Anolis sagrei: one gene and its partner. The protein of the gene in region 1 purifies or fractionates together with the protein of each later gene. This does not show direct contact. Links are inferred from orthologs where the notes say so. Each region holds a gene or a part of one and is shown on either strand. Other genes may lie near its edges.

What was found. Proteins that work in one complex are often made in the same cells at the same time.
Region 2: the proteins of COPE (region 1) and SACM1L purify together in Homo sapiens (affinity purification with mass spectrometry; 4 studies listed by BioGRID and IntAct, with this or other methods). This does not show direct contact. The link is inferred for Anolis sagrei from reciprocal best matches to the Homo sapiens genes COPE and SACM1L.

The regions. Positions count from the first base shown.
Region 1 is NC_090034.1:52,171,493-52,179,190, reverse strand, and holds the start of COPE (coatomer subunit epsilon), read left to right. Parts: upstream 1-4,684; 5' UTR 4,685-4,729; coding exon 4,730-4,846; intron 4,847-4,998; coding exon 4,999-5,061; intron 5,062-7,698. Other genes in the region: probable ATP-dependent RNA helicase DDX49, read right to left, coding at 514-701, 1,148-1,269, 1,345-1,430, 1,708-1,831, 4,059-4,248. UniProt on the Homo sapiens protein: The coatomer is a cytosolic protein complex that binds to dilysine motifs and reversibly associates with Golgi non-clathrin-coated vesicles, which further mediate biosynthetic protein transport from the ER, via the Golgi up to the trans Golgi network.
Region 2 is NC_090026.1:77,910,369-77,917,491, forward strand, and holds the start of SACM1L (phosphatidylinositol-3-phosphatase SAC1), read right to left. Parts: upstream 3,009-7,123; 5' UTR 2,789-3,008; coding exon 2,742-2,788; intron 1-2,741.

The DNA.
Region 1 (7,698 bases):
TAGAAAATTTATATATTTATATATATATATAAAATTTTATATATATAATTTTATATATATTATTATATATATTTTAACAGGGTGGATATACATGGAGTAAAAGATGGGATAGCTAAGTATTTGTGTATGTATTTGTGTATGTATGTATATATAGAGAGAGAGAGAGAAAGAGAGAGAGAGAGAGAGAGAGGATATTATATGAATCTTTTCACTCTGTTGCAGGGATGTGGCTCATCCAGCCTTCAAAGAATTATGACTAATCTTCAAGAGAAATGGCTTGGCTGTGATGCCGCCTATAATCAGCTTCCCCTCCAAAGTGCCTATTTAAAAACCCATTTATCTCCTAATCTCCCTCTGCAAATTGATTCTGTGCATTCAATTAGGAAATGACATGAATAGTTTTCATGAATAGTTTGGGAAAAGGACAGCAACTCCCATGATGCCCAAAGCAACCCCCCCGATAATGGGAGGTGAAGTCACATATTTTAAGGGGAGAAAGGAGAGGGGACTCACTCGGAGCTGGACTCCCAGAAGAAGGGCTGGTTCATGGCGATGCGCTGCAGTTGGCTCAGGGTCTCGGTCAGTGTGGCGCTGAAGAGCATGGTTTGTCGCCCAGACGGAAGCGCTGCCAGGATGGTCTCCAGGTCTTGGGTGAAGTCAGTGCAGCCCTGTTCCAGCAAACGGTCTGCTTCATCCAGGACCTAAATCCCAATGAGGAAAAAAAGAAGGGATCCTAGAGCGGGATGACCCCAAAAGGTCATCCAGTCCAACCTCTTTCTGTCAGGTAAGAAGGCTCCATCTAAGGCTTCCTAAAAGATGGCCATACCGACTGAATGATAGACTCATAGAGTGGGAAGGGGTCCCCGAAGACCATCCAGTCCAACCCCTTTCTGTCATAGACACCATCCAAGCCCTCCCGACAGATGGCCACCCAGACTCTGCTCAATAATAATAATAATAATAATAATAATAATAATAAAATCCTAAAGTTGGAAGGGATCCCACAAAGGCCATCCAGTCCAACTCGTCTGTCATAAAGGGGGACACCATCAAAGCCCTCCCAACAGAGGGCCATGTAGACTCTGTTTATAGAATCCTAGAGTAGGATGGGACCCCCCAAGGCCAACCAGTTCAACCCCCGCCTTACCAAGACCTTGATCCGTTGAAGGCTGCAGGGGTTGGAGCTGCGGAGGTGGTCGGCCAGGCGCCCTGGGGTGGCGACGACCACGTGGGGCTTGCGGGAGAGTGCCAACGCCTGGGACACCATGTCTGCAAGGAGAGGGAGGGATCACGTCATGTATTCGTGGTGCACTCTCTCAGCTTTTCGGCCCCATATATACGTACCCATGCCGCCCACAACGATGCAGTCCTTCAGGCCCAGTGGCTTCCCTAGGACTCGGAACTGTTCAGCGATCTGGTAGGCCAGCTCCCTATTGGAAACAATAAATCGAGAAGGGAATATACATAATATATCAACACAGTCCATTCTACCACCTAGGAAGACACCATCAAAATCCTCCTGACAGATGGCCATCCAGACTCTGTTCAATAATAACAGCAACAATAATAATATAATCCTCGAGTTAGAAAAGACCTTTTAAAGGGCCATCCAGTCCAACCCCATTCTGCCGTAAAGGAAGACACCATCAAAGCCCTCCTGATAGATGACCACTCAGCACCTGCTTAGTACTAATACTAATAATAGACCTTGTGGGCGTCAGGACGAGGCAGAAGATGCCGTAGGGGTCCTCTGAGAGCCTCTGCAGGACCGGAAGCACAAAGGCAGCCGTCTTCCCACTCCCGGTCTTGGCACAGCCCATGCAGTCACGGCCTGGAAAGAAAGCAAGAACTCTGAACATGTTCTGAGGCAAGATCAGCTCAAAGGAAACCCCCCACCGCTTTGCTAAGGGGTGATTAGGCAAGCCCCAACCTTAGCAGCCTTCAAGAAGGATCTCAAAACTTGGCTTTTCTGTTGCACCTTTGGAGAGTGATCAGATATTTCCTTTTGTTGCTCCTCTCACAATGTTTGTCCTCATATTGCACTCCCCCCCTCCTGTTTGAAAGCCTGTCTCCACTACTCCGTCTCCTATGAGCTTCTCCCATACCAATATTTCTTTTACATCTCTATCTCATCTTGAATTTTATCATTTTATCTCGCACATGTGGGCCGCCCATTGGGATTGACTCTGCATTGTATTATTTTGTATTGTTTTATTGTATTCTTATGTTTTTATTTATTTAATTGTGATGTTTGTTTTGTTGCTCTGGTTTTATTTTGTACTGTTGGGCTTGGCGTCATGTAAGCCACCCCGAGTTTCCTTTGGGGAGATGGTGGAGAGGTATAAATAAAGATTATTATTATTATTATTATTATTCCACTGATTAGATTTAAATGTAGAACAGGGTTCATGGAGAACTAAGTGGAGAAAACACTCTGCCCATGCTCAGGAATCCCTCCCCCAGGCTATTTAGTGGGGAGGGTGATTTAGAGTGGGCATGGTTTTCTGTGAGGGCGTGGCTTGAAGAGCCCCCCCACTGGGGATCAAAGGGAAACTGAGTGGGCGGGGCTTCACGAAGGGCGTGGTTTGGCTGAGAAGGCTTTCTGTGGGGCCGTGGCTTGAACGCCTAATTGCCAAGGGAAACCTGGAGGCGTAGCTTAATGGTTTTTTTTGGTTGTTTTTTTTAAACAGAAGAACGGCCTGCCTCAGGGGAGCGTGCTTGTTCCATCCATGTTCAACATCTACACAAATGACCAGCCACTGCCAGGAGGGACAGAGAGTTTCATCTATGCTGATGATCGTGCCATCACCGCTCAAGCAGGGAGCTTTGAGATGGTTGAAAAGAAGCTATCCGAAGCTCTAGGTGCTCTTACTGCCTATCACAGGGAAAACCAACTGATCCCTAATCCATCTAAAACACAGACATGCGCCTTTCACCTTAAGAACAGACAAGCATCCCGAGCTCTGAAGATCACCTGGGAAAGGAATCCCACTGGAGCATTGCAGTGCACCCAAATACCTGGGAGTCACTCTGGACCGTGCCCTGACCTACAAGAAGCACTGCCTGAACATCAAGCAAAAAGTGGGCGCTAGAAACAATATCATACGAAAGCTGACTGGCACAACCTGGGGATCACAACCAGACACAGTGAAGACCTTGCGCTATGCTACACTGCTGCTGAGTACGCATGCCCAGTGTGGAACACATCTCACCACACTAAAACAGTGGATGTGGCTCGTAATGAGACATGCCGCATTATTACGGGGTGTCTGCGCCCTACACTACTGGAAAAATTACACTGCTTAGCCGGTATTGCACCACCTGACATCTGCCGGGAAGTAGCAGCCAATAGTGAAAGGACCAAGGCAGAGACATCTCCAGCTCATCCCCTGTTTGGGTATCAGCCAGCACGCCAACGACTTAAATCAAGACATAGTTTTCTTAGATCTACAGAGACACTCGCTGGAACACCTCAGCAAGCGAGAGTCCAAAAGTGGCAGGCTCAAACCCAGCACCTCAATCCATGGGTGATACCAGATGAGAGACTCCCCCCTGGGCACACAGAAGACTGGGCAACTTGGAAGGCGCTGAACAAACTGCGCTCTGGCACCACGAGATGCAGAGCCAATCTTAAGAAATGGGGCTACAAAGTGGAATCCACGACATGCGAGTCGAGAAGAGCAAACCACTGACCACCTGCTGCAATGCAACCTACATGCACGATGGAGGACCTTCTTGCGGCAACACCAGAGGCACTCCAAGTGGCCACATACTGGTCAAAGGACATTTAATCAGCTACCAAGTTTGCAAAATCTGTGTTTTTTGTTTTTTTTAAATCTGTGTGTTTGTTTTGTTCTGTTAGAAATGTAATACAATGGTCTGGTTGCTGATGACACGATAAATAAATAGCTTAATGTGTGGGCGTGGCTCGGAGGCTCTTCCAATGAGGGTTAGAGGCAACCGAAGGGGCGTGGCTTGAAGAGCCTCCCAGCAGGACGAAAGGGGGCGTGGCTTGAGGCGTCTGAGGGCGTGGCCTGGTCGAGCGCGCGAGGTCTTACCTTGGAGCGCGGGTGGGATGCAGGCCTCTTGGACGGGAGTAGGCCGCTTGAGGCCCAGTTGCTCCGCTTGCGCCGCCAGCCAAGGCGACAGGCCCAAGGCACGAAAGCCGGCTGCCGCCATCACACTCCGGAGGAAAGAGGAAAAAGGAAGCAATCCCAGAGTGCCACGCGGTGGTGCGCTCTGCGTCATGACGTCACGAACCTGAGTCGGGCTGTATAGGTTGTCATGGCAACGCTGTAGCTTGTGTCCCAGAATGTTCAGCGCGAAGCTTCAGAGCGTCGAACAAATTAGAAATCACAATAACACGAATATTATCATATTTAGTTGTTACCCAATACGAATTGATAGAAATTATAAGAAAAAATTAAAATACTATTATAATTTATAATTATAATATAAAATAATAGAATATATATATATATATATACTTATGATTTCTATTTATTTTTTTCTTCTCTTGATCGCAATCTCACTCCCAGTCTTGTCACTCTAAACTTTTCCTTTCTCTATGTTCACACTCTCTAGCGTCAGCCCTTTTCCTTGCCTTGATTGGTCAAACGGGAGAAGGGGCGGGGCACAGCGAGTGAATGACAGCGCGACGGCCAATCGCCGGCGAGGGAAGTCGGAAGTGGAGACGTGTCAAACCTTCTGAAGGGAAAGCCGGGCCAAGATGGCGACGACGGGGGCAAGCGGCGCTGCGGGCGAAGCCGACGAGCTCTTCGACGTCCGGAACAACTTCTACATCGGGGCCTCGCAGGCCGCCATTAATGAGGCGCAGCGCGTGAAGGTGAGGCGTCTTTTCTGCGAGGAGGAGCGGTTCCAAAAGCGACGAGGCCTCACTGAGCGGATTGGGGCCTGCAATGAATTCTGTCCCTCGGCCGCCTTTTTCGAAATGTATTCACTAGAGTGATAATATGTCTCCCTTTCTTCTCTCCTCAGGCATCCAGCCCTGAGAAAGAAATCGAGAGAGACGTTTTCCTGTTCCGCGCCTATATTGCTCAGGTGAGGTCGAGATATTATATTGTTAGGTTCTTGTGGGTTTTTTCGGGCTATAGGGCCATGTTCTAGAGGCATTTCTCCTGACGTTTCGCCTGCATCTATGGCAAACATCCTCAGAGGTAGTGAGGTCTGTTGGAATTAGGAAAATGGGTTTATATATCTGTGGAATGGCTGGGGTGGGGCAAAGAGCTCTTCTCTGCTGGAGCTAGGTGTGAATGTTTCAACTGACCACCTTCATTAGCATTTGAAGGCCTGCCTGAGCCTGGGAAAATCTTTTGTTGAGAGATGCTTGGATGTCCCTGATTGTTTTCCCTCTGCTGTTTTGCTGTTTTAATTTTAGAGTTTTTTAATACTGGTAGCCAGATTTTGTTCATTTTCATGGTTTCCTCCTTTCTGTTGAAATTGTCCACATGCTTGTGGATTTCAGTGGCTTCTCTGTGTAGCCTGACATGGTGGTTGTTAGAGTGGTCCAGCATTTCTGTGTTCTCAAATAATATGCTGTATCCAGGCTGGTTCATCAGGTGCTCTGCTATGGCTGACTTCTCTGGTTGAAGTAGTCTGCAGTGCCTTTCATGTTCCTTGATGCGTGTCTGGGCGCTGCGTTTGGTGGTCCCTATGTAGACTTGTCCACAGCTGCGTGGTATACGGTAGACTCCTGCAGAGGTGAGAGGATCCCTCTTGTCCTTTGCTGAACGTAGCATTTGTTGGATTTTCTTGGTGGGTCTGTAAGTGGTTTGTATGTTGTGTTTCCTCATCAGCTTCCCTATGCGGTCAGTGGTTCCCTTGATGTATGGCAGGAACACTTTTCCTCTGGGTGGATCTTCATCTTTACTCTCGTGGCTCATTCTTGGTCTTGCAGCTCTTCTGATGTCTGAGGTGGAATATCCATTGGCCTGGAGAGCCCAGTTGAGGTGGTTCAGTTCATCTTGGAGGAGGTGGGGTTCACAGATTCTTTTTGCACGGTCTGCCAAGGCTTTAATTGTGCTTCTTTTTTGACTTGAGTGATGGTTGGAGTTTTTATGTAGATATCTATCTGTGTGTGGGGGTTTTCTGTAGACAGTGTGACCCAATTGTTGATCTGGTTTGCGGATAACTAGGACATCTAGAAAAGGCAGTCTTCCTTCATTTTCTTTTTCCATTGTGAATTGGATTTTTGGGTGGATGCTGTTAAGATGGTCCAGGAACCTGTTGAGTTCTTCTTCTCCATGGCTCCAAATGGTGAAGGTGTCATCCACATATCTGAACCATATAGTGGGTTTTTTGGTTATTATATTATTATATTGTTATTTTTGTATTTATATTATTGTAAAACATATTATGCAGTAGTAATATTATTTATTTATTCATTTATTTATTTTTATCCCGCTGTTCGCGGGGTAAAAATAAATGAATGGTTAAAACAACAGAAATTACATGTCACAAAAAACACAACATCCTCACCCCAAATAAAACAGACACACAAATAACACATTCAGTTGTTGTGTATTTTCCGGGCTGTCCTGCTATGTTCCAGAAGCATTCTCTCCTGACGTTTTGCCTGCATCTATGGCAGGCATCCTTAGAGGTTGTGAGGTTTGTTGGAAACTAGAAAAATGGGGAATGTCCAGGGTGGGAGAAAGAACTCTTGTCTGTTTGAGGTAGGTGTGAATGTTACAAATGGCCACCTTGATTAGCATTTGATGGTCTAGTAGTTTTCAAAGTCTGGATTCTTACTGCCCAGGGGAATCCTTTGTTGGGAGGATTAGCTCAGGATTCCCCCAGGCAGACCTTATTTATTTATTTACTTATGGTGTTTATACCCCCCTCCTTTTCTCAGCCATATGGCAACTCAAGGCGGGTTACAGATAGGCACAGTTTGATGTCAGGCATTCATAAAAGTGTCATTTAAAACAATCAACATTACAATATAAAACATAAATAAAAACCGTTAAATCATTGGTGTCATCTTGTTAAAAACATCCAGTAACATCATCTGCCATTCCATGTTCATCATTCATAGTTCCATGTTATCTGTTCCGCTGCATTCTCAAAAGCTTGCTGAAAGAGCCAGGTCTTTACTTTTTTTTTCAGAGGGGGCCGATCTAATATCCCTGGGGAGAGAGTTCCATAGCCAGGGAGCCACCTCTGAGAAGGCCCTGTCCTTCGTCTCTGCTAATCGCACTTGTGAGGCAGGCGGGACCGAGAGCAGGGCCTCCCCAGATGATATTAAGCTCCTAGATGGTTCATAGGAGTAGATACGTTCGGACATGTAACCTGGGCCGGAATCATTTAGGGCTTTATAGGCTAAAGCCAGCACTTTGAATTGTGCTTGGTAGCAAATTGGCAGCCAGTGGAGCTGACGCAACAGAGATATAGTGTGTTCTCTGAGCACTGCTCCTGTTAGCTCCTATTAGTAACCTGTCTGCCGTTCTTTGGACCATTTGAAGCTTCCAAACAGTCTTCAAAGGCAACCCCACGTAGAGTGCTATGCAGTAATCTATTCGGGATGTAACAAGAGCGTGGACCACCGTGACCAAGTCAGACTTCCCAAGGTACGGGCGCAGCTGGCCTTGAAACTGCTAGGCCATTAAATGCTAATCAAGGTAGCCAGTGGCTACATTCATACCTACCTCAAACAGACAAGAATTCATTCTCCCACCC
Region 2 (7,123 bases), on another chromosome or scaffold:
GTTCTTGTTATTATTATTTAGGGAATTTCTATGCCACTTTTCTCCAATGGACTCAAAGCGGCTTACAACATCATTAAAACAGAATATAAAATAAAAACATAGATAAGATAACCCAAATTGGTTACATAAATACTTCCTTGTAGGACATTAAAATTACCATTAAATTAAATTAAATTTAAAATGTCAAAAAATTCCCATTGAGTGATAAAATACTATAAAGTATTGTAAAATCCTAGGCTTCCATTACAATCTATCATTCATTTACAACTTTGGAACAACATCTTCAAGGAATATTGCCAAATAAGAGAACTTAATAAAAGTTTCCCCTTGACATTAAGTCTAGTTGTGTCAAACTCTGGGGAGTGGTGCTCATCTTCATTTCGAAGCCAAAGAGCTGGCATTGTCCATAGACACCTCCAAGGTCATGTGGCCAGCATGACTGCATGACTGTGATGGTCACTCCAACAAGAAATACTGTTTACTCACAAGCATAAAGGAATTACATATATTAGAAACCAATACTTTCTCATTACTTTATTTTCCAGATCACCAGACTGGGCCACAGCAACGCGTGGCAGGGGACGGCTAGTATTAAATATAATGGCAAAGGAATGTTTTCAAGTATAATGGTGAATGTTAAGCGTGTTGTGCCTCTCGAGCCAAAAATACCAAGATGGGTGATCAAATATTAAGAAAGAGAGAGAACGGGGCTGGGGTTTGGGTTAATATATTATATTAATTATATTATTATTATATTAATATATATTAATTACTAGCTGTCCCCTGCCACGCGTTGCTGTGGCCCAGTCTGGTGATCTGGAAAATAAAGTAATGAGAAAGTTTTGGTTTCTAATATATATAATTCCTTTATGCTTGTTGTTTCTTTGTCAGTGTTGATGTGGAGAGTGTCTGGTTTGCCTACTCTGGAATATGCAACATATCATAGTCCTTCTTTAAGGGTCTCTTTAAAATCTATGATACTATATCTGTGTGTGAGAGAGAGAATCATATCGATCTATCTATATTTATGACTGGATGGTTCTTTGTCAGGAGGGCTCTGATTACATTTTCTTGCCCTGGTGAAGGGAGTTGGACTGGATGCCTTAAATATTTTCTGTTGGTCATGGGAGTTCTGTGTGGGAAGTTTGCCCCATTTCTGTGGATTTCAGAATGCTCTTTAATTGTAGTGAACTATAAATCCCAGTAACTACAAATCCCAAATGTCAAGATCTATTTCCTCCAAACTCCATCTGTGTTTATATTTAGGCATATGGAATTTTGGAACTTAATGTCAATGTCCACCAAATCCTTCCAGTGTGTTCTGTTGGTCATGGAAGTTCTGTATGCCATGTTTGGTTGAATTCCATCATTGGTGGAGTTCAGAATGCTCTTTGATTGTAGGTGAACTATAAATCCCAGCAACTACAAATCCCAAGTGCCAAGTTTGGTCCAGATCCATCATTGTTTGAGTCCACAGTGCTCTCTGGATGTAGGTGAACTACAACTCCCAAACTCAAGGTCAATGCGCACCAAACCCTTCCAGTGTGTTCTGTTGGTCATGGAAGTCCTGTACGCCATGTTTGGTTCAATTCCATCACTGGTGGAGTTCAGAATGCTCTCTGATTGTAAGTGAACTATAAATCCCAGCAACTACAACTCCCAAATGTCAAGGTCTATTTCCCTTAAACTCCATCTGTGTTCATATTTGGCCCCGCGACTCTGGAACTCTCTCCCTCTGGAGGCCAGAACCGCCCCATCCATCCTAACATTTAGGAAACGGGTGAAGACGTGGCTGTGGAGTCAGGCCTTCGATGAATGAGACAACACCATAGGACCCTGGATGGAAGTTGATGTAGATCCATCTTAATAGGACAACTGACCACTGTAGTTTTATATATAGTGTATTTAAAGTTGTTTTTGTAATTGTGATATATGATATTTTAATGAGTGTATATGTTTTTTATGGCTGGAAACCGGGCTGAGTCCCTCAATGAGGTTGAGAAGCTCGGTATAGAAAACTGTGAAATAAATAAATAATAATAAATAAAATATGGAATATTCGTGCCAAGTTTGGTTCAGATCCATCATTGTTTGAGTCCACAGTGCTCTCTGGATGTGGGTAAACTACAATTCCCAAACTCAAGGTCAATGTCCACCAAACCCTTCCAGTTTTTTCGGTTGGTCATGGGAGCCCTGTGTGCTAAGTTTGGCCCAACTCCATCATTGGTGGAGTTCAGAATGCTCTTTGATTGTAGGTAAACTATAAATCCGAGCAACGACAATTCCCAAATGACAAAATCAATTTTTTTGAGTGGAGGACATACATTGGACTGTTAGGTGTCTTGTGTCCAAATTTGGTGTCAATTCCCCCAGTGGTTTTTGAGTTCTGATGGTAGCACGAACTAACATTACATTTTTATTTATATAGATTATTAATTATTATTAATAATAATAACATACTATTATATATATATATATATATATATATATATACACACTCAAATGGAATGTGGGAGCTCTTCGGTTAAGTGAGACAGATGGGGAAGGACACACTTGACAGGAAAAGTGACGTGGGGGAGCCTTGGAGCCTTAAGGAGGAAGGAGAGGGATCAAGGAGGGCGAAGAGGAGGCCAAAGGCGAACAGCAGGTGTCCTTTGTGGGAACCGAGGGAGAGAAGAAGGGAGCCCGGGCCCTCCTGAAGGGAAGGGTGGGATTCCTGGCGCCCTTTCTCGGCTACTCACAGCTTCAGGTTCTCGTAGGCTCGCCCCGCTGCGGTTGCCGCCGCCATCTCCGCCGCCGCCCCGCCTCTCCCTCCTCCAACCGACCGGCTCGAGCTTGGCCTCAGAGACTCCGCCTTCCTTCTCGCGCCTCACCTGACGGCCTCCACTTGGGCCTTCAGGACGGCGCCCCACACAGGACAAAACTAAGCGGAAAGCATTTCGACGCCCGCGCTGAGTAAGGCGTTTGGGATTGGCTGAAACGGACGCTCGCAACCATGTCGCCCTATCCCGGAAGCGAAGCAGCGCGTGGGCGGGGTCTCGCTATTGTGACGTCAAGTTCCCGCAACCATCCCCTCAGACGCCGAATGGATTGGGGTAACTCCGCCCCTTCAAAAAAAGGAAAACTCTTCTTTGCACCAACGAGGAACGGAGTGAAAGAGCAAGGAGCGTTTTGATTGGCTCGGCTTGGCAAAAAGAAATGCCTCACTCAGAACTCCACCCCTGGTTTTGTTTCCAGCCACTAGAAACGTAGCAGGCGGAATGTAGAATGCAATTGGGGAAAAGGGGTCGTCAGGCAGGGCCAGTGGCGCAATGGATAACGCGTCTGACTACGGATCAGAAGATTCTAGGTTCGACTCCTGGCTGGCTCGGCTAAATTTTTTTCTTCTGTGAAAAATTAATATTTTCATTTAATGAATCGTGTTGCATCAGTGTAGATTCTCTGGGAGTTCCAGTTTGGAAAAATGGATGGTCATAACCATTTTTCTCCGAAAATAAAAAACAGCTTTGCAGTTTGCTGGTTATATAGGAATTTGACATTTCAAATCCAAACCCTCAGATTTTTCTCCTAAACTCCTTCTACACTTCGACAATACATCCTTCTACACTGCCATATAAAATCCAGATTATCTGCTTTGAACTGGATTATATGTCAGTGTAGATATAATGCCCATTATCTGCTTTGAACTGGATTATATGAATTTTCAATTATATATAATCCAGTTCAAAGCAGATAATGGGCCTTACATGCGTTGAATTATCTACAGTCATATAATCCAATTTGAACAGCATTATAATGGTAAATGTAGACTCATAATGCAGATTGAACCTCATTGAACTGGAATATTTATTTATTTATTTACAGCATTTATATCCCGCCCTTCTCACCCCGCAGGGGACTCAGGGCAGATTACAGTGTACATATATGGCAAACATTCAATGCCAATTTGACTTACAACATGGATGAGAGCTAACAAATTGAAATTGAATCCAGACAAGACAGAGGTCCTACTAGTCAGTCGTAAGGCCGAACAGGGCATAGGGTTACAGCCTGTGTTAGACGGGGTTACACTCCCCTGAAGACGCAGGTTCGCAGCTTGGGAGTGATCCTGGACTAATCGCTGAACCTGGAACCCCAGGTCTCAGCGGTGGCCGGGAGAGCTTTTGCACAATTAAAACTTGTGCGCCAGCTACGCCCGTACCTTGAGAAGTTGGATCTGGCCACGGTGGTCCACGCACTTGTTACATCCCGGATAGATTACTACAACACACTCTTCGTGGGGTTGCCTTTGAAGACTGTTCGGAAACTTCAATTAGCCCAGCAGGAGGCAGCGAAATTACTCACCGGAGCGTCATACAGGGAGCATACCACCCCGTTATGTCAGCTCCACTGGCTGCCGATCCAGTTCTGAGCACAATTCAAAGTGCTGGTTTTGACCTACAAAACCCTATACCAGTGTTTCTCAACCTGGGGGTCGGGACCCCCAGGGGGGTCACAAGGGGTGTCAGAGGGGTCGCCAAAGACCATCAGAAAACAGTATTTTCTGTTGGTCATGGGAGTTCTGTGTGAGACATTTGGACTAATTCTGTACTTGGTGGGGTCCAGAATGCACTTTGATTGTAGGTGAACTATAAATCCCCGCAACTACAACTCCCAAATAACAAAATCAACCCCTCCAACCCCGCCAGTAGTCAAATTTGGGCGTATTGGGTATTTGTGCCAAGTTTAGTCCAGTGAATGAAAATACATCCTGCAGATCAGATATTTACATTACGATTCATAACAGTAGCAAAATTACAATTATGAAGTAGCAACAAAATAATTTGATGGTTGGGGGTCACCACAACATGAGGAACTGTAATAAGGGGTTGCGGCATTTGGAAGGTTGAGAACCACTGCCCTATACGGTTCCGGCCCAGCGTATCTGTCCAAACGCATCTCCCTCTACGTCCCACCTCGGAGTTTAAGATCTTTCGGGGAGGCCCTGCTCTCAGCCCCGCCTTTATCACAAGTGAGATTGGCGGGGACGAGGAGCAGGGCCTTCTCGGTTGTGGCCCCTTACATATGGAATTCACTCCCCGGGGAAATTAGATCATCGTCATCCCTCCTCTCCTTTAGAAGGAAATTAAAAACATGGATTTGGGACCAGGCGTTTGGGCAATCTGGCAGATAAATAAAGGACAATGACGATTGATAGGAATGGAAAATGTGGAATGAAGCTATGGACTCTGAGTTGCGAACGTTGAGCATAAGATTGTTTTTATTGACTGTGATATATATTGATTGTTCTTAACTGTTATAACTGTTTTTAATTGCTGTCTATATCTTATCTGTATTACTATTTTGTAAGCCGCCCTGAGTCCCCCCTCGGGGGTTGAGAAGGGCGGGGTAGAAGTACACAAAAGAAAGAAAGAAATAAAACATATACAGACATAGACAGAGGCTATTTAACTTTTTCTGGCTGCCAGGGGAGCTGTCGCTTTCATCGTCCATCTGTGACACTGATGAAGTACTTCCGCATTCCCCGCATGCTTTTTTGCTGGAATGCTTTGCTGGAGTCTTTTTTGTGGCCTCGTAAATTAGCTAATTTAGCCTCCCCACACTTTAAGGTGGTACCTAATTTTCCTACTTGACAGATGCAACTGTTTTTCGGGTTGCAAAGGTTGACAACAGGCTACACACAATTGGTTGGAAACCCACTCCAACCCGGGCTGGCTTCGAACTCATGACCTTTTGGTCAGAGTGATCTTAATGCAGCTGACACTCAGCTAGCTGCGCCACAATCCCGGTTATAATCCAGTTCAAAGCAGATAATGGGCATTACATGCTTTGAATTATCTACAGTCATATAATCCAATTTGAACAGCATTATAATGGTAAATGTAGTCTCATAATGCAGATTGAACCTCATTGAACTGGAATATATGAGTCTACCAGTGTTTCTCAACCTTCCTAATGCCATGACCACTTAATACAGTTCCTCGTGTTGTGGTGACCCCCATCCGTAACATTATTTTCGTTGCTACTTCAAAACTGTAATTATGCGACCATTATGGCTCGCAGTGTAAATATCTGATATGCAGAATGTATTTTCATTCACTGGACCAAATGTGGCACAAATAGCTTATATGCCCAAATTTGAATACTGGTGAGTTTGGGGGGGGGGGGTGATTTTGTCATTTGGGAGTTGTAGTTGCTGGGATTTATAGCTGACCTACAATCAAAGAGCATTCTGAACCCCACCATCAAAATTGGGCCAAACATTCCACACAGAAAATACTGTGTTTTCTGATGGTCTTTGGTGACCCCTCTGACCCCCCTTCGTGACCCCTCCTGGGGTCCCAACCCCCAGGTTGAGAATCACTGGTACACTGATATAATCCAGTTCAATCCACATTCTGTGGCAGTGTAGATGAGGCCTCCTTGTGTTACCATGATAGAGCCAAGACCAAACCCTGATCTCACAGTGTCTGAGTCCAACATTCAAACCATGACACCACACAGTCTAATCCCAGACATTTTGTGGATATGCAAAATTGTGGATAATAGTGAATCATTTTGGAATGAATGCCTTCTTGCCCAAGAAGGCATTTGTCATTTTTAAAGTTTTTGTCCTTTTTATTTTATTTATTTATTTACCTTACTTATATACCGCTGTTCTCAGCCCGAAGGCGACTCACAGCGGTTCACAACAAATACGAACAGCAAAAATTCAGTGCTACAGTATAGAAACAGTTAACAACCTAACACATTACACGACCCATTCACTGTCGTCTCGTCATCAAAAATATGTTCCAGATTCGTCATCCATTTTTCCATTCCAGTGTTCATTAACCAATCATTGCACTAATTATTCGAACGCCTGCTCAAACAGCCAGGTCTTCACTTTTTTGCAGAATACCATTAGAGATGGTGCTAGTCTAATGTCCGTAGGAAGGGCGTTCCACAGCCGAGGAGCCACCACCGAGAAGGCCCTATCTCTCGTCCCCGCCAGCTGAGCTTGAGAAGCAGGCGGGATCGAGAGCAGGGTCTCCCCGGAAGATCTCAAAGTCCTGGTGGGTTCATAGGCAGAGATGCGGTCGGATAGGTAGCTTGGCCGGAACCGTTTAGGGCTTTAAAGGCC